Lonchura striata: one gene and its partners. The protein of the gene in region 1 binds, or shares a complex with, the protein of each later gene. Links are inferred from orthologs where the notes say so. Each region holds a gene or a part of one and is shown on either strand. Other genes may lie near its edges.

Region 1 (7,738 bases):
GCCAATTGTGACATGTGGCTAGAGCACATCAGGCTTAATCTCTGGTGACAACTATTTCCTTTCCAGGGTCTGTGCAAAAACTCCAATACTGGAGGTGTGTTGGTTTTTCCACGCACCCTGGAAGGCAGGAATAGAACTTGGTGAAAGTTCAGTTCTATTGTTTCTGTGTACTGCTAACTTGCTGCTTGTGACGGTTCTGAAGACTGAAAATCCCTGTAAAACGAAGTATTTAAAATAGCCTTAGAAATCACAGATGCGAAAGGGGAATTAAATGCAGTCCGTTTAGAGAAGGAACATTTAATAAAGGCTCTGACTTTGATCCTTCTGATGTAAACTGTTCTTTATACAAATTAATTTGTCAACAAACTTACACTGTGATTTACTTTTCAAACCTGTTTGGTTTAGAGCATACAGTTTATAGAGTGGACAATGCTGTGATCTGTGAAAACCTTTTGCAGAACTGAGGCAAGACAGGGTTTAAAGCCAAGGCAGAACTGACATTTAATGAAATTTGTAAGTAATTACTCCTGTTGATTTCCAAAGTATTTTTGACTACAGACAGCTTTTTAATTACCCAACTAGTGAAAAGTCCTCTGTATTTACGTCTTCAAAGGCATCACAAAATACTTGGCGTTAGTTTTTTTGGTCAATGAGTTGTGCTGCTCCAAGAAAGTCTTTTATTTTACCTGGCCACATATATCTGTCTTGAAAAAAAATCAATTTACTAGTAGATTTGATGTCACTTGATGGATATACTGAAAATCTTGTTGCAGAATACAAATTTTTAGAAGGCAAAATGAGCTTTATGTTTCACGTGGAGCAATAGTTACGTGAGCCTTACCTATTGTATGAAACTCACAGAAGGTGGTTGCACCCGAGAAGCCAGAGCACTAAGATTTGTTATTTCATGTGGGTGGTGTGTATGTGTGTGCATGTAATCTTCCTTCTTTATAACTCTGGATGCCTCAAACCATGATGATGGGAGAACACAACACTACACATAAAATCTGAGAGCATTAAGTGGAACTCCATGGGAGCACACATTCTGCTAGAAGCAATTTTCTGATTGTTATGGCAGTAGCAGTAAACACAAGAACATTTTTATCATACTCAGGCCTCAAACAGCAAGATACAACCATGAGCAGGTATTTGGGAATGCTGTGGTTTGTTCTGGTCAGAAGTACAAAAATCTGACAAAAGTTTCTTGGTGCTGTGTCAGTTCCCAGCCTGTGGTGTAGCATCCTGACAAGAGATTTGCTGTAGGAGTTAGTGGAAACTTGGGCAATTAGATATTTTACCCTTTACCTAAGATAGGCTCAGCTCCCACTAAACCATTCCTAGCAGACTGCCACACAGCTGTTTTATAGCATTATAGGATGGAGATTCCATAACTTCTCTATGCCATCTATTTTGTTATATGAACTTACCAGACTGTCAGGAATGTACCTCATGTCTGAAGAAAAAGTTTTCCTTGCTGCAACTTGAATCCATTGCTGCTTGTCCTGTTCCCACAGACACTGAAAACAGTTCCTTTTTGCAGCAACCACATTGTCACTTCAGTATCCTCATCCCTGGATGAAATAAATTCAGATTTTCTATGTATTTCCTTAGAGATTTCCATGTTTTCTAAACCTACACTGCTGCCCCTCATGTTGATTTGTTTCATTCTGACTCCTTTTTGCCTTGAGGTGTCCACTGCTGGCCCAGGTCTCCTGGGGAGTTGATTTGCAAGCCCCACTTAACAAACACAGTTGTCCGCCCCAGCACAAGGTCTGGGTGTTCCTTTGTTGCAACACCACCATGTTGTGGACATGTTAGTTTGTGATCAGCTATGAAGCCAAACTAAAAATGGCTCTTTAGTTAATTATGTCTAATCTTGTATTTATGCATTGGACACATTTCTACAAAACTGCAGCGCTTCCCAGTTGGTGTGACAGAAATTGTGTTCTATTTAATCACATTTAAGATGGGTTTTAATTCTGATTTTTGCATTTCAAAATACTTGCAAATCTGAAATCATCTGAAAACTACATATTTTGCATTGAATTGGTAATACTCAAGAGTGAAAACTCAGCTAAATGCTCTTAAAGATTTGGCAGCTTGGGGCACTGGAATGAGTTTCACCTGTGATGAATTAGCTGTGCTTTGGGATCCCAGGAACAGCAGTTAAACCATGCAATGCAAAAACCTCTGCCCTGACACATGTACAAAATCTGATGCCACTCAAAACCTACTAAGAATGTGTCAAAAAGCTGTGATTGTACTGGAATCACTCACTCCATCACTGCAGCCAGGAAGGAATGAAAAAATGGCAAGTTTTGGTGAAGATGCTGTTTGAGCTCTTGATCATGGGCACCTTGGCTTACCTATTCTGATTCCAATTGATGCTCCAGATAAACATGGGAAAGAAAATTATAGGCAAATGAAGCCTTTTTTATTAACTTGTTCATTTCAACCAATAAGATATTCTATTATTTTGATGATTTGTATTTCCAGCTTAGGTAGCAGCAAGTGGAAAACCTCATTCATCTTTCCAAACAACACCTGAATTTCTGCACTGAGCTTAGTTGTTCCTGGGAGGGAGGAGTGAAAGGTAGGAGCTCACTTGCACTTGTGGAGAATATGCTGATTTTTCAGTCACAGTGAAACACTCTATTTGGATTTTGATAGCTACTTTTGTTAAACTATTTATACATTGCAGTATAATATATCAGAGATAAAATAGCCATAATGCTTGCCACGAGATCTGATAAATTGATTGTGCCAACTTGGAGACTAAAGAATTAATTTTCTTATTTCAAATGTCTTAAAAATACCAGTTGCCAGTAAAAGATAATTTTTCCCTTCAATTGATGGTAATAACATCTTTGAACTGTCAAGCAACTGTCTCTGAGTGACAGCTGAACTGTGTGCATTTCAAGAAGATCAAAAAATAATTTATGAGAGAGGTTTACAAGGTGCTAAAAATTACAATGGAAGAGAGACAAATGTAAAAGCATAAAATACTCAAATATTTTGATTTTTTTTTTGATCAGTCACAGTTCTTACTGTCCATTTTATTTAGTAACATCATGACACTTTTCACATGATGAGGTTTCATGAGCTTAAAAATAGAGGTAATAGGAGTCACTGTCATTTTGGGTTTGAGCTGGTGGTTTGTGTGCTGGATTCAAGGAATTTCCCTGCAGCTACTGCGTCCTCAGTTACTCTGGTGGTGCTGGATTGCCCCAGTGCTTGTCTGGGGTGAGTGATTTTATATATATATATATATATATATATATACACACACACACACACACATATATATGTGTGTGTGTATATGTATGTATGTGTATATATATGTGTGTGTGTGTGTGTATGTGTGTGGTGTTTAAAATGCATGAATTGCAGAGTGAATGTCAGCTGAAGGTCACATGAATGGATTCCAGGATGTGAGGACCTTGACAGGGTGCACTTTGAAACCTATAATGTGTTTTTGAAGGTTAAGATTAAGAAAGGTTCATAATTAGGTGGAACATGACCCACTAGACCAGGTTGCCCCAGTCCCCACCCAGACTGGCCTTGGACACATCCAGGGATGGGGCAGCCACAGCTTGTCTGGGCAGTCTGTGCCAGGGCCTCTCCACCTCACAGGGAACAATTTATTCCTAATACAGACTCATTTATAATCTGTAACAATCCAAGTTCTTTAGTGCTAATATACCTCTTCCTATCTGAATGACAATGCATGTTAGTAAGACAGGTTTCATTAAATAATTCAAACTTGATCTCAGGAGTTCAAGTACGAGTGTGAATGTTTTTTAAAGAAAAATTAATCACAGCAAAAAGCCAGCACTTTTCTTGTGCCATGTCTCCACTTAGAAGTGACGATCTCCTAAAAAGTGACCACAGTCTTGCAGTAATTGTGTAATCAGTGTCTGTGCAACTGATAACAAAATCACTGAGGCTGCTGGATGACTGGGAGTGCTTTTGAACTGCATATATGAGCTGGGGACGGTGCAAGCACAGCTGCTGATGGGCGTGAGGTCAAAGCCCTTCCTGAGCCACACACAGGAACATCTCTGGATTAAAAACCCCAGGAATTCATTTCAGACTGGCCTGACTTGCCAGGCCTGTGACACACACCTGGGTAGCTCATATCACTGCTGTGGGGCTCCTCACCTGCGGCTTGGGCTGCGCTGGGAACTGTTCCTGTACCTACACAAATCGCTCCTTCGGAGCAGAGCTGGGAGTGCTGAGGCTCCCTCACGCCATTGATGCTTCCCTGGGGGCAGCGTCGCTTTCAGCCGCGTCCTCACACGAGCACCTACGGGAAGCGGGGCGGCAAAGCGCTCCCGATGAAAGGCCTGTGGGCGGCTCGGCGCGGGGGCAGGACGGGTTTGGGCGGAGGGCGGCGGGTCCCTCACCCTCACGCTGCCGCCATCCGCCGCCTCAGCCACCGCCCCTCGCGCGCAGGCGCGGGCGCGTGAGGGCGCGGCCGTTTTCCCGCGCAGCCGCGGCGCGGGGCGGGGCGGGGCCGGCGCAGGCGCGGCGGCGCAGCTGGCGGCCCGTGGCGGCGGCCCGGCGCATGCGCGGCGGCGGCCCCGCTGTCAGTTCCGGCTGTTTGTCCGGGAAGTGGCTCCGGCCGGAGCCGCCGCCGCCCCCCGCCCCCCCCCCGCCCGCTCCGCCGCCCGCGGCCGCGCCCCGGCCATGGCCCGGGACTACGACCACCTCTTCAAGCTGCTCATCATCGGCGACAGCGGTGAGCGCGGGCGGCACGGCCGGGGGCGTGGGTAGGCCGCTGGCGGGGTGGCCGCCCCTCGGGCCGTGAGGGGCCGGAGGCGGCGGCGGGGCTGGGGCGGGCGGCGCGGGGGGCTCGGGAGGGGCGGGCCCCTCCGCCCGGGCCGCCCTCGGCGTTGCGCTGCCGGTGCCGCGGCGCGGGGCTGAGGCGGGACCCCGCGCTGTGTGTGTGAATGGCGGGGCGCGTTCGCTGGGGCTCGGGGAGGTTTTATCTGATAAACCTGCGGAACTGGCTACCGCAGGATATTATGGTAAATAGCTTGGCTGCGTTTGGGAAAAGGCAGATTAGACACGCAGAAGGCAGGACACCACCGGCAGTGCTGCCGGCATCAGCCTTGGCGAGCGCGTGTTTTGACGGCACCCACTAATCTGTTGCTGGGATGGGGAGGGAATTCCCTTCCCCTGTGACAGGCAGTCTAGGGATCGAGGGGAAGGGCTGGCTGCCCTAAGGACTGTTGTTCCAGTGCGGCAGCTAATACGTTTTAACAGTCATTATTGTCTTAATTATTCCTTAAGACTTTTTCTATGCTTCAGCCTGAAGTCTCAGTTCCAGATTTCCTTATTTTTTTTAATAAATCCTGGAAGAGGTGGTAGCTTTGTGTACTTCTCGTTATTGCATAGAATGCAAATATATAAAAATAAAGGGTGTAGTCTGAGGTTTTAAAAACCAAAGGTGTAGATAAAAGGTGTAGTTTGAATTTTTTTTTGAAAATAGACCTTTAAATACTTCAGCAACCTCAGAAACTTCTGGAGGGCTGAGCGTGTGAACTGTGCCAGTGTCTGGTGCTTTGGTCTGGGTACACAGGAATTGGGACGGGGAAGATCGCTGCCGTCGGTGCAGCTCGGTGTTGGTAGCACTCCAGCAGCTTACAGCTGAATTTCCATAAACTGGAGAAGGGTGCATCCACCCTCTTCTTTTAACAGAGGTGTGGTCCGTGGGGCGGCAGGTCCCGGCATGCAGCGAGGCGCAGCCCTTGATGAAAGGGTGATGTTGCACGATCTTGGCAGTTGTCACCTTCGGAAGCTTTAGCTTCACGTCAGAAATGTTTTTTTCTACGCTAAACTGTGTCTGCATGAAGGGATCTAAGAAGGGAGACGGGACAGCAGCTTCAGAGCAGCTTAAACCCCAGACAGTTCTGGGAGCCTTGGATTATTGCAACCAAGCGCTGCATTCTGAGTAGAGCAGTGGCTCTGTTGGTTGCTGATGAGTTCCAAAACTGTTCAGGCAAGATAAACAGGATGGTGAAAACTCTGAGGAAGACTTCTCATTTTAAACAATTAAACAAATTTTGCCAGCTCAGTCTTCTTGAGCGAAATCCCTGTAGTGTATCCAGTGAAAGGAGTGTTGTGAGAATTGTCAGGCGGCCTGTGGTTTTCTCCTGTAATTAAATCTCACAATGTAGTTTGACTATTGATTTTTCTTTGTTTTTGTTTTTGCTAACCCCAACAGGAAAGCTTTGTCTCTGCTTGCATGAAACAGTTTGCTTGCCTTGTTTATTGACATTTATTCCCTGCAATAGGAAGTGGACTGTTACTAGATAGGATAATTATGTCTCATCTGCTTTCCCCTGTATGCAAATATGTCAGAGGGGTAGTAGGTTTGTGTGTTTTTAGAACAGGTCATCTTGAAAAGCTGCTGGTGATTTCAGCTGTGCCAGATATTTAAAAATAACACAGATGATCTGTGCTTTGCTTTTGCTTCTTTAGTTCACTGTACTGTTCAGTAAGATATGGGTCTTAGAATCTTGTCTGACACTGAAATATACTTTTAATTTTAATTTTGCAAAGTCAATAGGCTTTTTTTTTTGTTTTGTTTAATCTTGCTATCTTCAAGAAGCTGAGGGCCCTGCAAGACTTCTCTTCAGATCTTCAAACAGCTCTGTGTGGGAAGTGTGGGGTCACCAAGAGTGTGGTTTCTCTATGCGTGAACAGTGTGGGTCAGAGGCAGTGTTTGCTTAGTGAGATCGTTGTCACTGGGAGCATGCAGAACTTCCTGAGTTCAGGAGCTTTCTTCTCTCTGGGAGCTGCCAGCCTGCTGGGAGCAGTGCAGCTTGTGCAGTGGAGGGCAGTGTGACAGAGCAGTGTCATGTGCAGCTCTGCAGCATCGCCCAGGGCTGGCTGAGCTCGGACCTGGTGCTGTGGTCTGACAAGTCTGTGGGTTCTGGCACCTTCTTGCCTTTCACTGAGCTGAAGGCCAAGGCTGCTTGGTCAAGAAGCACAGCACTTGATGCTGAAACATTCTTGTTTTCTCTTAGTTTCTTATTTTTTCTTAGTTGACCGGTATTTGCAGAGCTTTAATTCTGGCTAAATGACCAGTCCTCTGAAGTACAGGAACTGCTCTGCTACCTTTTTTGAGCTCAGAGGTATTAATTATATGCATGCTGAAACTTTGTATTTTTTAGTTCCTTTCCTCTTTTCCTCCTTAGTTTGGTAGTAGTGAGGAATGAACATGGCTTCTCCAGATGGCTGGTGATTTGAACTCTTTGCAAATGAGACCTGGCTTACTGTAATCATGCGGATTTTTAGGCTGGTTTTTATTTTTTGTTGGTAGCTGTTGTCACATGCCAGCAGCTAAGAACTACTGGAGTTCTGCAGGGCCTTTACATAGGTCTTCTATTAAGAAGAATTTGTGATTTATACATCATCAAAATAATTACCTTGGAAAATTTCTCCCTGAAAAGATATAATAGATAATTATTTCAGTGAAGTGAATTTCCTATTCATGCCATAGCAGATTTATTTTGATGAGGAAGGGTCATTGACAGCAGAGATGTTATGCAGAGATAACAACGTGGAGGCATTTGGATACCCAGATTCCCTTGGGTGGGTGTACAGGAATGAGTTTCTTACAGTTCTTGTCTGAAGCCCTGTGAAAAATGCTTCCCTGCAACAGTGTGTTATCAGGGTGCCAACAATCAGTTATGGAAAACCTGGATGAAGAGCTACTCAAAGCATTTAG
Region 2 (7,628 bases), on another chromosome or scaffold:
AACACATTTCCTCGCTAGATCCTTGCTTTGGCCATGTTTTAGGAGAAGGGATCATGACAGAAAAGCATGTGATTTCAGCAAGTATATTTTCAAAGCAAGTTTAGGAAAAACACATGACTACACATTTGCAAAAGTGTGCCTGAACTCACAGCCTTTCCCACTACCTTAAAAATCAGTTTCTGAACATCAAGTTTCCAACTACAAACTGATTTGGCATGTTGAAAGTTTACAAATCTAGTGATGCAATAAGCCATTATTGCTTCAGGTTTTCTAATTCAGAGACTTCTTTATCATCTGGTAGAGGGTGAAAAAAAAAAACAGTATGCCTTGCTATGAAATAACTCATCATACTTCTGATGTGAACCTTTATAGTCATTATTATCTAATCACATATCAGCACCTCAACAGCTACAATCCACCATCCTTTCACAAGCACTTTAAGCAAGGAAACAGATCTTAGGTGCTGTGATTTGGGGTCCAATTAAATCTCAAAACCAAGAAATATCAATATGAACTTCATCAGAAACAGATAAGCAAGAATAAAAGCCATGTGGCTGAAGCTGCCTGTAGTAGCGTGTTTTGAAAGATTTAAATAGGTCCCCATGAAAACAGGGATTCAGTGACTCAGGAACTCTGATTTACCCATGTCCTCCCAGTTATCACCACAACCATAAGAAAGTAGCCTGTGACATTTCTATTCATTACATACCTCCCAACAGTTGTATTTAAGAGCTCTGACAGGTATACTGACAGGAAGGACAGAGGCTACACCCTCCTGCTCAGCAAGGTCAGGAGAAAGCTGCAGCTCAGCTTTGCTACAAGGAACACAGAGCAAGAAGCTGCTTTATGTCCACACTCCCCCCTGGAAGAACATAGGACTTTGTCACAACCTTGCTCTACATTAGTGCCTCTATCATCCCTCAGTAAAACCACTGCAGTAACCTTCATTCAGAAGGTTTCTACTGTTTGGGTTGGGTAATTTATATGAACATTAAGAATAACCAAAATTATAACAAGTATTGATGACTAATAATGAAAGATATGAACCTTTTCAGAAATACTACAGGAATTCTGCCTTGCAATTTTACCCATTTCCTAACAGTTAAAGGTTTACTGGCATCAAGTGATTATGCCATAAGGTTTTCTGCAATTCATTTAAAGATAGTAGTATCAGACTGGGAAAAAGACCATGAGGTACAAGAAGACCCTAACAAAGTGTTTTCTCCAGTTTCTTTTCCTTGAAGGAAAGGAATCAAGAGAGGCAAAAGAAGATGATACAAAATGAATTCAAATGAACTAGTACGACTTACCTTGGAAAAACAGCAGCACACTTCTGCTCACAAATTTTAGTCACAACTTCTTGTTTGCTTGAGTGTCTTTAGTACTTTAGCAGGTATGAGTAATTAAAATAATGCAACTACTGGTACAGTTTTCTGATTAAATTATGCCAATCTACAACTGCATTGTCACCAAATGGGATGAACCAACACTAAATTCAGTTGTCTCAGAATGTATATACACTAGCAAGCATGTCCAGCTCAGGACATAGTTTTGTGAAAGACCTAAGCCAATGTAAAAGTTGCCTGCAGCCCTGAGGGAGGTCTTGCTCTCCACTGCCTTCCCCTAGCTTTGCTTCTGGCAGTGAAGTTTCTTCTCTCTACTCCCCATAAGCTTTAGGTTTCACACCCACTGAGATGCTGACAGAACTCACTAACCTGGATGGCAGAGAACCATCCAGTCTCTTCCGCCAGGGCACCCAGACACTAAAGGATCCAACAACACACGTCACAGTCACCAAAAAACCCGTGGGAGAAGCAGCCAGTGACAAACTAGCAGCAGAGGCAGAAGCAAAGGAGGGAAGAACAGGAACTCCAACTTCTGCCAAGGGTAAGCCATTCAACCAACCTTCCTTCTCCAACTTCCTCTACATCCCAGATACCACAGGATTGCTAAAGCTGATACAAAAGAGGAGGCGTGAACATACAGCCAGAGAGTAGAGAAAGAGCAGTACTATTTTCCTCAACATCCAGAGCTCACCACAGAGCCACAGGCACTTGAGATATGAGCTTGGCATGGGACAGGAGTGGCACAGCAGTGCCACATCACATCACATCACGGAGATGTTTGCATCTCCATCGTCTAGCAGGGTAATGGCAGGCACAGAAACTGGGTGAATGTAGGCACAGACCAGCCACACATCCCACAGGGAGGCACAATTACGTTGATTAGATACAACGGTGTAAAATACATATATAGAATGGGTAAAAACGTAAGGAAAGACAGGGGAATGTTGCCTGACATAAGCAGAAATAACCCTACAGCAATGATAGACAACCGGTCACTCGACTGGGGAAAAACAAAGGAGTGCGTGCCTTGCTCTGACAACAGGAAGTAAGACGATACTGAGCTTGTTTGCTACTGGCACCCCAACAGTGGCCACACCGAATACGGACACACAACAGAACGTAGGCAGGAGACACTGGGAAGTGAAATGTGAGCACAACTCTGAAGAACGGAAGACGGACCACCGAAGAGTTCACCCTCCGAGCCTGAGTCTCAGCTGACATTGCCTCGGCTGGCAAGCACTGCCCGCACCAGCCGCCCGCCACCACTCACCCCATCTCCTCCAAGGCGTGACCCCGCGGCGCTCACTGCCCAGCGCTGCCCAGCGCTGCCCCCGCCCGGAGCCCGCACCCGCCCGCCCGGCCCCAGCACCGCACACGCTGCCTCCCTTCCCCCCAGAGCCCCCAGGCCCGGCAGGACCCACACAGCCCCTGCCCGCCCCTCCGCTCAAGGCCGGCTGCCCACAGCTCGCCAGCACCTGTCAGCCCCAGCGCCCCACAGCCCGGCCCGCCCCGCACACAGCCGGCCCCGCTTCCTGTCCCCCGGCACGACCTCGGCCCGGCCCCTTCTCGGCGGCACCTGAAGCGCGGCGAGTCCTTCAGGCACTCCTCGAAGTCCACGGTCACCTTCATGGTGGCGGGGCGCGCCGCTGCCTCCGCTGCTGCGGCTGCTGGCGGTGGTGGCGAGGCGAGACCGGGCCAGGGCCGGCGGACGGGGCGGGGCGGGGGCGGTGCTCGGGGCAGGGGCGGTGCTCGGGGCAGGGGCGGTGCTCGGGGCAGGGGCGGTGCTGGGGGCAGGGGCGGTGCTCGGGGCGGGGGCGGTGGCCGCAGCGCCCGGGGCCCGCCCCGCCCGGGCGCGACTGACGGCCCGGGCAGCCAGCAGGGACCTCCTGCGAGAGCGGGGGGCGCGCCGGCCAATCACAACGCCAGAGGGGCGGGCTCAGTAGGCAGAGCGCCCAATGAGCGTGGCCGCTCGGAAGATGCAGCCAACCGCCGGCAGCGCAGCGATTGCTCCCGCCCCGGCGTGCTCAGAGCGACAGCTCGGGCCGCCAATGGGCAGGCGGCCGCGCCAAGCGGCAGCTCCATGGCCGTGGATGCCCCGCCACAGCCCGGCCCGGCGTTCGCCGCCTGACGCTGCCTGGGGGGGGCCGGGCCTGCTTGTTTTTTTTTAATTACAGCTCTTCATTAAACGGGGGAATCGCTCCCTCGGGGGTGAGACGCGCGGGAAGGCCCGGGCGGGCCCCGGAGCTGCTGCACCGGGTCGAGAGCGGCCTCGGTCAGCCGGGCTCCGCGCAGCGCCGGCGCGGGGCAGGGCCGGCGGGGCGGTACGGCCCTGCTGGGGGGCCAGCGGCGGGAGCAACGCTCCTGCTCAGTTCGCTCTCCGGCGTGATTCACTTCTACACAGAGGAAATAACTGGGGGGGAGACTCAAAGGAGTCTCTGAAGGAGAAACGCAAACCGCAGGTTTTCCTGTCAAGGAATATCAAGCGTGCATGCTTGGGTTTCTTATGGAACCTTTGTCCGAGAATACTCCGAGCTAGAGCGGATCGTATTTTGAAGTGGAGTGATACAGAGTGAACAGGACCACGTTGCAGTCTCCAGGTTGCAGTGAAGGACAGCAGAACGTTGTAGATTTCTGATCGTTTAAGAGAAGAGAGAAAAAGATCTCTTAACCAGTTAGGTGTGCTTAATGTTCCCAGGTGTAAAACAGACAGACAGGAGCACCAGCCATCCCCACTCCTCTTCAAAAAGGAGCAACAGAGTAGCAAAAGTTGCTATCCAAGTTAACTTGTCAAAGATGAAGCAGTCACAGGGATGGTGCTGAGAAGCTGACCGAAGTAGATGATGTTCACTCTTGCCTCCTCCCAGAGTCTGACGAGCTGCCATACCTGCTTCCAGCGAGGCCATACCTGCTTCCAGCGAGCCCACAAACCCCCTACAGCTTTCATACCCTCCCTCATGCCAGCATCTCCACTAAGTTTCACCTCTTGTTTTAGCTCTTTTGTTTTTTCATATTCTTCCCATTCTCTCTCCCCCGCTTCCTTTCAATGCTACAATGAGAAACAGTCAACGTGGAAGGAGGGGTTCCAAGAGGCTGGATGCCTGCTGTACCTTTAGTGAGGGACACTTAGTTCAGTCAGTTGTAATTTAGAATGTCAGGGTTTTTTTTACAAGACTCATGAAATGTCAGAACCAAACTACAAGTTACATGGATGTAACTGTATATTTTTGTGAGCTGTCCCTCACCAAAACTAGCCAAACTACCACTATTTTGATTAGGCATCCAAGTCACACCTACTCAGGAAAAGCAGCATGTTAATATTTGTGTAATTGAAGCTGCATTTATGTTGTGAAATCCACTTTTCAACTGAAGAATGCAATTGAAAAGAGCCCAGCTCTGTTTTGAGGAAGAGTTTTACTTCCTAAGAAGTAGCTGCTGTTAGTCATTTTCCATTACTCCATGCTAGTGAGTGATGACTCAGTGTTGACCGTGAAGAGACAGATCAGTTGTGGTTAAATCCTACAACACACAAAAACACCTTGAAAAATGCAGCCTTTTCTGAGGTACTGCTGTCTTAAGTTCCTGACTTAGGTTACCAGATCTACCCTCAGGCCTAGGCAAGCCAGCAAATCTGTGTGAACAAACAAATTTACATCAAAGTTACTATAAATGAGAGCCATAAGGAAATTACAATATTGGTTTAAGAATTTATCTATGAACATACCTGCAAATGTTAGCTGCCAGTTTCTTCTGAAGAGCTCCAAGAAGCCAAACATTAGATTAGTATTAGTGTCATAAGGTAGTAATGAAAACAATTGTTTTATTTATGTTGTGACACTTAACACCAGTTTCAAACAATAATTACATTTGTGAGGTGGCATCATAGTACCACAAAAAAGCATGTTACAGAAACAAAGAGTTCTGGTAAGATATACAAATTTCACATGAGAGAGGTTAGCTGTGGAAAAAGTATCTGCAGTTTCCATGAATTATACAAGTTGGTGGGAAAGAAGCTATAGACAGAAAAAAAAAAATCTATACACATGAGTTAAGGCTCTTATTTGTAAGTGATCTTCCTACTGGAAGCATATTGAAAATGCCTTCTCTAAACAGGATGCAGCTTGAGGACTTAAACCTTTGCAAGAAAATTCACAATTATGGTACTGTGGAGCTCACTGTCCACATAAGTAAGTACTGTGTTTGTTTCCTCTTTACACCACTCTGTATTGTACACGAGTATTTACCATATGCAAGCTAGCTAAGTCCTCATCAAATGTAAAAAGAGAAAGCACATTTCTTCTCTTGTCCCCATTCAACAGGGAACTCCTGATATTTCTCAAGCAGAGGGAAATCAGATATCCCTTTGTAAAAAAAGCTGTATGGAACTTCTGGAGCTACTGCAAAGTAAAACTTGCATGATTTAGTTTTTAAAATGCATCAAGGTGTAAGCAAAGTAAACCAGCCTTTCACTTAGAAGCAGTGGTAGGGACATTGGCTTGCACTTCTGCTGAGGAAGACAAAGAAGCACTGTGAACAGAATTTCTGCGAGCACTGAGGAAAATGAAGAGAACAAAGCCTTTAAAAAAACCCCAAACTAAATCAAGTTTCAAAATAGCATCAAACTCGGAATTTAGGTGCTTGGAGGCACAGAAAAAGGAGATCACCCAAGCAGCTCAAAATCACCTGAGTGATGAAGGAACCTAGTATACATTATGTGGTTAATTTAAAACCGTCTTCATGCATTTGTGTACCTCCCTCAAAGCTGCATACTCATTTCATCTAGATTTGTGGAAGCCATTACAGGAAAGGTCTTTATTGGAAGTTAGAGAAGTTTGTTTGTTAAAGAAAATGCTTTCTAGACCTTGTAAGATACAAAGGAGCCCTGCTGAGCACCAAATGGCCTTGGACACAAGAAAGTGGGGGGGTTAAGGAGGGCAGGACATTAGCTCGGGTAAGAGCTGCTGCTGCTGGATTCTACCTTAATTTCAGAATTTCAGTGCCCAGCTGGGGCAGGCCAGGCCAGCAGCTGCTCAGTCTGAAATACAGCTCAGTGCACACAGGCCAACACTCTGAACACTGCAAGCTGGTTTATAAAAGGTACAAACAAAGTTTTGAAATCCTATTCTTAGGAGCCAAATTGAAAGCTGCAGTATGTGACTTGATGAGTCAAAGTATCTAAATGCTTACCCTTTGCCACTGTTTACTCCATGGAAGTGACCACATTTGATACAAGAAGTAATAGCACTCAGCATGTTGAAAAAGTAGCATCACCACACTGGCCAGAATCAAGAGTTCAGCTCTTTTTTGTGAAAAGACCCTATTAATCTCAATTCAGGACCTTAGAAGATTAACTAACCCAAAACTGACCACCCTACTAAGGAGAGGAGATAGTTGGGAAAGGCACCCTACAAAACACAGCATAATTCACAGGTATCTTTGGCAATGCGTCCAGTCTAATTAATCATTCCTGTAAAAATCTTTCAAATGACAGCATCCTATTGCCTTATTCACTCTCAATTTCTCTGGGACTCCAGGAAAGCTCACACTTGAGAATGTATGTAACTGTAAAATAACTTTCATTCCTTTATTCAAACTTCACATATACAGTGGAGAAAAAGACATTTTAAAATTGATCCATATAATTATATGGATTTTTGCAACATATCAAATTCAGATCAAAATTAAGATATACACTGTATTTCATAATCAAGCTGAAGCTTAAGTGTGTACTTCGTTTGTATAATAAAACCCAGGAACTACTCTGAATACTGGAACATTCACCAGTCAAATTCCACCCAGTGGGAAGTTTTTACAGCAATTTGGAGGTGCAGAATCCCTCTTTACAGCTATACAACCACACTGTAAACAAGTATTTGAATTAGGCAGTTTCCCTTCTCGCTTCAAAAAAGCCTTCATTTTACAAAAGCAGTTGCTGTAAGTTGCAATGACACAGGAAGATTTAGACCAATGGTTTTCAGTGTGGACGTTGCCAACCCCAAAAGAGTAGATCAACAGCAGTTATCTTTAATAAAGAACAGCCAGAGCCTAGGCTCAGCACATCTTCAGTCCTGATTTATACACTCATGGCTGGGTGTTTTTCCTCAGGTGCTAACAGCACAAACACTGTTCATGCAACTGGAAAGAACCAAACATTTGAAACAAGAGCCAGAAGAGTAACAGTGGTTGTGATTTAAGAGAAAAGCTGTAAGGAACTTGCACGGCCTCACAATAAGCCAGAGAGAGCTCCACAAAACAACCAGTCCTGATGGAAGAGGTTATGACAGT
Region 3 (7,116 bases), on another chromosome or scaffold:
GTGCTATCTCAGTCTTGTTGGGAGGACACACTGATTAGAAAGCCAGGGAATCCTCATTTCCATGCTGCAATGGTCTCTGCCCAGGAGTCCACTGATTAATTAATGAGTGTGTTTACCTGGGTGAGTTTGGGCAGGTTAGCCCTTGCACATAGCCTGGCTGCAAGGACAGTGACAGCTGCTGGAATGCAGCATCCCTGAACCTTAACGACAACCTAGCACAAGCATCACATGAAAATCCTTACCCAGCCATGGCAAGGTGTCACTTTTGGTCATGTCCACCTTAAATCATCATCTGCTCTTAAGCAGGAAAACTTAGAGCCCTTTACAGTGCATATTTGGATAAATAACATTGAAAGGTTAAAAATTATGTTTGTATGATCATGCAAGGAGTCAATACAAATGTGAAATACTTGTAGACATGTATATTCTATATCTATTTACTTAATAAACTAAAGTTTATTTATTTAGTATAAATATATAAATGATATAATATAAAGTATCTTTAAAGAAACTGAATGATGAAATCACATAATGTAGGTATATGGTGTTTCCTTAAAAGTATTTTTTTAAAGTATTGTCTCATGACAGTATTATGGCTAAGGAGTTTAATGGGGAAATTGATGTCTATGAATTTGGTAGTTTGGAAAACTTTGCATAGGTGAGATGATCTAGTCACTCATTTAGAACTGGGAATGGGTATATGTAAGATTCAAACAAAGTGATAAAACCCCAAAACCTCCAACCCCATTAAAATGGGGCTGAGAGTAAACTCATTGTAAGTGATGCTTTTCAAGTCTGTGAGGTGTGACAAGGTGATGATGTTGTTAGGAGATATACTGATAGCATCTGAGATAACATAAACCTACTGTAACTTCTTTGAAGGAACAAGGACTAAAACAGACCCAAGTACACTCAGGGGTGAGTGGAGAATTCTTGGTACAAGGTATAAACTACAGATTCTATCAAGGTATTCTAAAAAATATTTATTATGGCCATAGAGTGGGAAACTTAATAGGTTTTGATTTTGCCATTTTTGACAAACTCATTGGTGCTCCCAAGGGAGAACATGTCTTTCAGCAAGCTCTGCTAACAATGTTCTGAAGGAAATCCCTTTATGAGTTTCAGGAGCACTTAGGAGGAAGATCACTTTATTAGCAGCATGCTTTACTATTGAATGAATTGTACCTGGCAAGTGAGGAATTCTGTGATACTTAAGATTCCTTAATTCACACTATATCTGCTCCAGTTTATGGTGATGATGAGTGTTTTCTACATCTCAAAGACTTGCTGCAGTTATTTGGGGTGGGAGATTTGGATCTGTACAGAGTTACCTGTTGCTCCTATCTGCAAAACAAATGTTCATCTACCCCACCTCCAGCAAATCCATCTATATCAGTTCCTATGCTAATCTTTTAGATATAATTTAGGTTGAGGTCAGCCATTTTCATGTTATGCAAAACATAAAGAAAATGGCTTTGTGTTTTTTGGATTACATGTAGAACAGCTGATTTTGAAAAGTCCAAGTATCAGTTGCTTCATGGCTCTAATTTGGAATGAAAACCAGAGTAAAGAAAAGTAAACTACACTCACAGCTTCAGAATATACTATATTAATCAATTTTCTGCATATCTAGAGGTTTTGCTTTCAGATTTTCCTTCTTCCTTGATTCTCTTCCAAGGAAAAACTGAAACCAAGGCAGTGGCAAGAGGTAGTTTTGAACACCAATACCTTTCCCAAAATATCATCTTTCATTAGAAGCTGCCGTGGTTGCAAAACAGTCTTGAAAACATGAACTAAGTGTAACCTGGGCAGAGATGTCTGCTTAAGCTTTCACAGAGTCTGAAATAATAGCTCTGAGAGATGTGAGCCTCATCTCAACAGGGTGTTCTCTCATATGCCTTCTATTTTAAACTTGAACTTTCTCTACTCTTCCTGCTCTTCCAGGCAGGCAAGGTTTAGTCACTGCATGCAGTCAATTTACTCCAGTGACAAGGCATGTATTTACTTTGGGAAAGAAACCCTACCTATTTTTTCTCCAATTATGATAAAATGAAATCTAAGGGACCCAATGGTCCTATCTGCCAAAAGAGACCCTAGTCCAGGAGTGGCTGGAATTGCATGGTAGGTCAGCTTGACAGGCCACCAGATTACTCCTCTGTCTGCAAAAGTGGCAAGCATCAGCAGCTTAAGAGAAGAGAGAAATAAACACACACTAGACTTATAAAATATTTACTGTAATTCAAAATACAGATTTACTGCAATACCAGGGTTTTTCCTGGGGGGGCGGGGGGAGGATTGGGGTTTTTTTGGTTTTTCTTCTTGTACACCTCAAATGGAAATTTTCCACAAGTAAAATGTCTCAATATTTGGATAATCAGCTGCTCCAAATTCAATCTTGTTAAAATATTGGCTATTTTTTTTTTTTGCAGAAGAGACTTTCAAAATCTTTGTGCTTTGCAGTAGGTCTGGGGGGAGAGATGGAGGGCAGAAGGAAAGAAGGCAGAAGGACAGAGGCACATACATGACTGTGGTTGTGCCCCATATCCTTCCCCATGTGCTTCCTCTCCTTTTGGTTCTGTAACATCCCTGGGTGCTGGATACCTTGCTCTCCCCATCCCCTTGCTAGAGCAGACACGGGCATTGCTCCCTTCTCTCCTGGCTCTTTAGTCCAAACTGATCCCACCAGAGAAGTTCAATTTAACAGTGGGTGAATGAATGCTGCCTGCTGTGAGGGCCTCTCATGGTACACAAAAATACACATTTAACTTTTATTTTCCCTAAAAAACCCCTGAGCTACATGAAGCTACGTTGTTATATGTTAAGGATACAAAGCCCCAAGCAATTTTCATTTACTTCAGTGGGAGTTGCAAATACTGGCTGCTAAAACGTAGCCAAAAATTACCACAAAATGAGGCCTGGGAAAGCAAGTACTTGAAACCCAAGAAAATCCCCAAGCTAAGGTTACTGCTACAACATTCAGTTCTTTTTGTTGCACATCTATACAGTTTATTATTATTTAATCTATGTCCTGTGAGGTGTGTAGGATGTGCAATGAAGCCAAAACAATATTGGTTTGGAGAAGTTAATATTTGTAATTTCCTGACTTTTGAATATTTGATTTTTCAGCCCCAGTAATGCACTAATGCTGTTTTATGTGTTTAATATATAATTGGCTTGAATTTTTTTCATCTTTTCAACTGTTGATACGATGATTAGCTTCTAGAGGAAGAGTGAAAGAATGACGTTTTTTCTTTGGCCCAGTACCACAGAATCTATTTTATGCACTTTTTCATTGCAGTGTTACTATGTTGGTGAGGGAAACTTGGTGTAGGTGGGAATTTGGCTGCTCAGTAGCTCTCAGATGAATGAGACTTGGAAGCCTCTCAAGGACGGTGTTATTTTTATTTCCTTTCCAAACTCGAGGGAAGCACTCGAAGATTGAAAGCTTTTTATGTGTGTTTACGGGACGGTGGGTTTGCTCCAGCCGTCCCTGCTGCACCAGCTCTTCAGCAGTTTGGGATAGTATTTGTCCAGCACTCGATAAAACAAAACGCTAAGCAGATTACAGCAGGTTAAATTAACATTTATGACCTTTAGTACGAAAAGCTCCCCTTTCCTGCTGTGCATAAAGAACGTGAAAGGGCTGCTGCGGTGTGTCAGAGCACACAGGAGCCGGAGCCATCCCCTGAGGGCTTCAGCAGGGTGAAGGTGCCGCTGAGGGGGTCCCTCACGCCGCTCCCCGGGCGCTGCCCCGGCCCACCTGCCGGGCCTCGGCCGCACCTGCCGCGGAGGGCACGGGCCGCCCGCCGCCCCCGCCGGCCTCAGGTGACACCAGCCCCGCCGGCTCCCCGGGCCGCCGCGGAGCTTCCTGCTTCCCAGAAGGTGCCGGAGCGGCTGCAACAGGAACTGAGAGACGGGGGAGGAGGCGGTGCCGCCGCTCCGCCGCAGTCGCGGCCCGAGCCGGGGGAGCGGAGCGGAGCAGCCATGGGCCGCCGCCCGCCGCGGCGCTGAGCCGCCCCCGCCGCCCAGCGCTCCGCGGCCGGCGCTGCCCCTTCGCCCCCGCCGGGCGGGGCGCTTGTCCCTGGGGGCGCCGGGGCCGCCGCCGGGGCCCGCGATGTGACCATGGACAGCAGGTTCAAGTGAGTGCTGTGTGCGCGGGGCTGCGGGGCGCGGCGGGCCGGGCCGAGCCGAGCCCCCGCGGCGGGCAGGCGGCGAGCAGGCCCCGAGGCAGCCCCGGTCCGCCGGGCCCGGCGTGCGGCGGGCGGGGACGGGAGGAGGGGGAGCCCACCCGGCGGGAGCGTGCGAGGGGCCGGGCGCGCCCGCCGCGGCCGCTGAGTGACAGCGGGAAGGGCGGGCGGGAGGCGGCGGGGCCGGGGCCGGGGCGAGGCGGGACCCGCGGCGCGGGGGGAGCGGCGGCGCCCCCGACCCGGCCCGCGGCGGCGGGGAGGAGAAGGGGGCGGCCGCGGCCCCGCCGGCCGCTCTCCCGCCCCGCGCCGCCTCCCGGCCCCGCGGCCGCCCCGGCATCGCTCGGCAGCCGCCGGCCCGGCCGGGCAGAGGCCCCGGCGCCGGTCGGGCTGTGCCCGCGGAACGGGGCCTGTGCGGGGCCGGCAGCGCGGTGCCGAGCCCGCCGGCCCGGCAGAGCTGCCCGCAGTGCCCCTGCCCGCCGCGGGCCGAGGCTGTTCCAGGCATCCCTCTAGAAGGTGGCAGAATTGTCAGGGCTGGGAGGGAGCTCTGCAGATCATCCCGTCCCCTCGCCGTGCCAAGCCAGGGTCATGTAGAGCAGGTGACACAGGAGCACTTCAGGTGGGTTTGGAACGTCTTCAGGGGAAGACTCCACGACCGTCCTTGGGCCTGTTCACTGCTCTGCCGCCCTCAGTGTACTTCCTCACGTTCAGGTGAAACTCCATGTGTTACAGCTTGTGACCACCCTTCTGCCATCACGGCATGGCAGGTGCAGGAGGGTTCCTTGGGTGTTTGGGAGCGCTGCTGTCCAGGCTGCTCTCCGGCAGCGGCCGCCTGCTCTGGTGTCATTGAAAGCGACAAGATGTTACACACGGCTTTCGGCAATTGACAAACAGCTTCGTGTCTATACGCGCTGAGCAGGCTGGCACCGCGGAGCTGGCAGGGAAACGAGAGACCAGAGACAGGCTCACAATTCTCACATTAGTTTGACACATTTTTGACACTTCTAAGCGTAGTGGGATGTGAAGAGTAAACTTAGAAGCATTTTCCTGCAAAAGCAGTTTTAGCGTACTACAGTGAAAGACAGAAGGCAGTATTACTTCAAAGACGCTTTTTGAGTGTAACTCATCTAGGAGTTGAGTTAGAAACACTCATTTGGTGATTGTAACACAAACTGATTCACATTAAAAAACCTCAACCTGAGAGGATGAACCCAAGGCCTAAGCTAGAGCAATGTCATGGGGGGATGTAAATTCTTTTAAATGAAGTAATTTTGTGGTTCAGTTTTCTAGGTTACTCAACCAAGCACAGCCTTATCAGTTTCATTCTGAACCTGCTCACCAGCCAGAGGAAAAATGGACAGTTTAACACCAGAGTAAATCTCCAATGTCCTGGATTTATGCTGTTGTAACTCAAACCAGAATTTAATCTCCTATACACAGGATCAGTAGATACAGGATTTCCCCCTAAAAAATGCTTTAAAATGCAAGGAAAAAGTGTGACATGGGCAGTTTATGTCTTCATAATCCAAATTGGACTATAACTGTGTGTCTCAATGGATGATGGTGCTGAGGTCAGTGAAAGCATTAACTGAATCAATTAATTTGTGACAGCTGAGTTTTTCCCTGGCTCAGCCTTTGGATTTCATTCAATACTTTATTTAAAGAAACAACAATGTTTTAATTTGCTTTATGTGAAGCATCCTAGAAACCTGGAACCAAATAATGGTGTTTTTTTTTTTTTTTTCCCTCTGCCTAAATCTCCAGCTGATTTCAGTGGGAGTGTTACACAAGATAGGAGTTCTAGTGTGAGCCTTTTATGTGGTTAAATAGATAATTGATATGGGTGCGGTTATACCGCTTGTTTTTAATATAAATAGCAGTGTGCTTGGTAGGCAGAGAGGGGTGGATGGCATGGTAATGGCATTTAGACCTGTTTCAATGAGTATGTAGTTTGGGATTAGGCTGAGTGTTAATTGCTGTTGGCACATGCAGTTTTTTATTATCATCAGGTGGAAGAGGCGCCGGCCGTCACACGCAGCTGCCCTTGATGGCTACTGCAGATAGGGAGGCACTCGATAAAACGAGTTCCTGGCTAGCTGGGGCTTGTGTCCATCCCCAGTTAGGGCACGCGTGTTGGCTCTCGCGCTGAATCACGCCTGAGGTTCAGCCTTTAGAGTCCCAGCTGGCCATCGATCGATACCTGGTGAAAGAGGAAGCCAAACGATTCTCGGCCTTGGGGTGGTAATCAGGCGCTTTTAAAGGATAGCGGCTAAACACAGGGAATCCAAATGGAAGTCTAATGATGGGCTATTCCCACGTAGTAGAAATAAGACATAGCTGTAGAAAAGGCTGCCTGTGACTTCATTAATATTGCAGATTGATTGATTGATAAGGAGCTTAATAGCTTTTTTCTCAACTGTTAGATGAGTTATGGAGTGACTTAAAAGCTATTTTATATATATATATATATATATATATATGGCAGTGACAATATAATGTAAATAAATCACAAAGTTTAGCTTGTTTATCTTTCTTATTCCTTTCTTAAGGCCATATAGGGAAATGTGATGTTTTGGTTCTTCCTTAGAACTAATCTGAGTACTAATTTTGTTTTAATGATATTTTAATTCTATTTATTATTCTGCAAAAATAATGGAAAGGATATAACAGTAGAAATAAGATCTGAAATATGTATGTGATAATCGATTGTGTTTGTTTCTTCCAGGGAAAATCCAGAACGTACCTTTGATTTGGTACTGAAAGTAAAATGCCAAGCTTCAGAAAACGAAGGTAATGCACTTTGCCTATGATATTTATGTAGAGAAATGAGAGCTGGAAAAAAATAATTGTCATCCCAATCTAGTGTTATTTTATACTTTGAATTGCTTTTGGACTGAGATTGTGTTAGAATGTACCTATGATTATTTTATTG

Evidence for each region. Proteins that work in one complex are often made in the same cells at the same time.
Region 2: the proteins of RAB35 (region 1) and ACAP2 are in contact, whole or in part, in a crystal structure (PDB 6IF3), measured with the Homo sapiens proteins. The link is inferred for Lonchura striata from reciprocal best matches to the Homo sapiens genes RAB35 and ACAP2. Residues at the interface, in NP_006852.1 of Homo sapiens: Arg3, Asp4, Tyr5, Leu8, Ile41, Gly42, Val43, Asp44, Phe45, Ile47, Lys58, Gln60, Trp62, Phe70, Arg71, Thr72, Ile73, Thr76, Arg79; in NP_036419.3 of Homo sapiens: Val715, Ala718, Asn719, Ala720, Asp721, Val723, Thr724, Arg727, Leu728, Arg730, Met731, Glu734, Met735, Ser738, Glu748, Thr749, Gln751, Arg755, Asp756, Gln759, Met760.
Region 3: the proteins of RAB35 (region 1) and DENND1B are in contact, whole or in part, in a crystal structure (PDB 3TW8), measured with the Homo sapiens proteins. The link is inferred for Lonchura striata from reciprocal best matches to the Homo sapiens genes RAB35 and DENND1B. Residues at the interface, in NP_006852.1 of Homo sapiens: Lys10, Leu12, Ser17, Ser36, Tyr37, Ile38, Thr39, Thr40, Ile41, Gly42, Val43, Asp44, Phe45, Gln60, Trp62, Thr64, Ala65, Gly66, Arg69, Phe70, Arg71, Thr72, Ile73, Thr74, Ser75, Thr76, Tyr77, Arg79, Gly80, Thr81; in NP_001182144.1 of Homo sapiens: Met1, Arg4, Glu43, Ser47, Phe51, Val72, Leu73, Thr74, Asp75, Ile76, Glu77, Ser78, His211, Glu212, Arg213, Arg214, Gln242, His243, Ile244, Ile246, Leu249, His252, Leu253, Asp255, Tyr256, Cys258, Ala259, Pro260, Met261, Pro262.

Annotation. Positions count from the first base shown.
Region 1 is NC_134620.1:5,002,167-5,009,904, forward strand, and holds the start of RAB35 (ras-related protein Rab-35), read left to right. Parts: upstream 1-4,649; 5' UTR 4,650-4,689; coding exon 4,690-4,741; intron 4,742-7,370; exon of another isoform or gene 7,371-7,738. UniProt on the Homo sapiens protein: The small GTPases Rab are key regulators of intracellular membrane trafficking, from the formation of transport vesicles to their fusion with membranes.
Region 2 is NC_134612.1:15,154,410-15,162,037, reverse strand, and holds the start of ACAP2 (arf-GAP with coiled-coil, ANK repeat and PH domain-containing protein 2), read right to left. Parts: upstream 3,065-7,628; 5' UTR 2,976-3,064; coding exon 2,923-2,975; intron 1-2,922. UniProt on the Homo sapiens protein: GTPase-activating protein (GAP) for ADP ribosylation factor 6 (ARF6). Doesn't show GAP activity for RAB35.
Region 3 is NC_134611.1:26,084,330-26,091,445, forward strand, and holds the start of DENND1B (DENN domain-containing protein 1B), read left to right. Parts: upstream 1-4,052; 5' UTR 4,053-4,122; coding exon 4,123-4,139; intron 4,140-6,909; coding exon 6,910-6,974; intron 6,975-7,116. UniProt on the Homo sapiens protein: Guanine nucleotide exchange factor (GEF) for RAB35 that acts as a regulator of T-cell receptor (TCR) internalization in TH2 cells. Acts by promoting the exchange of GDP to GTP, converting inactive GDP-bound RAB35 into its active GTP-bound form.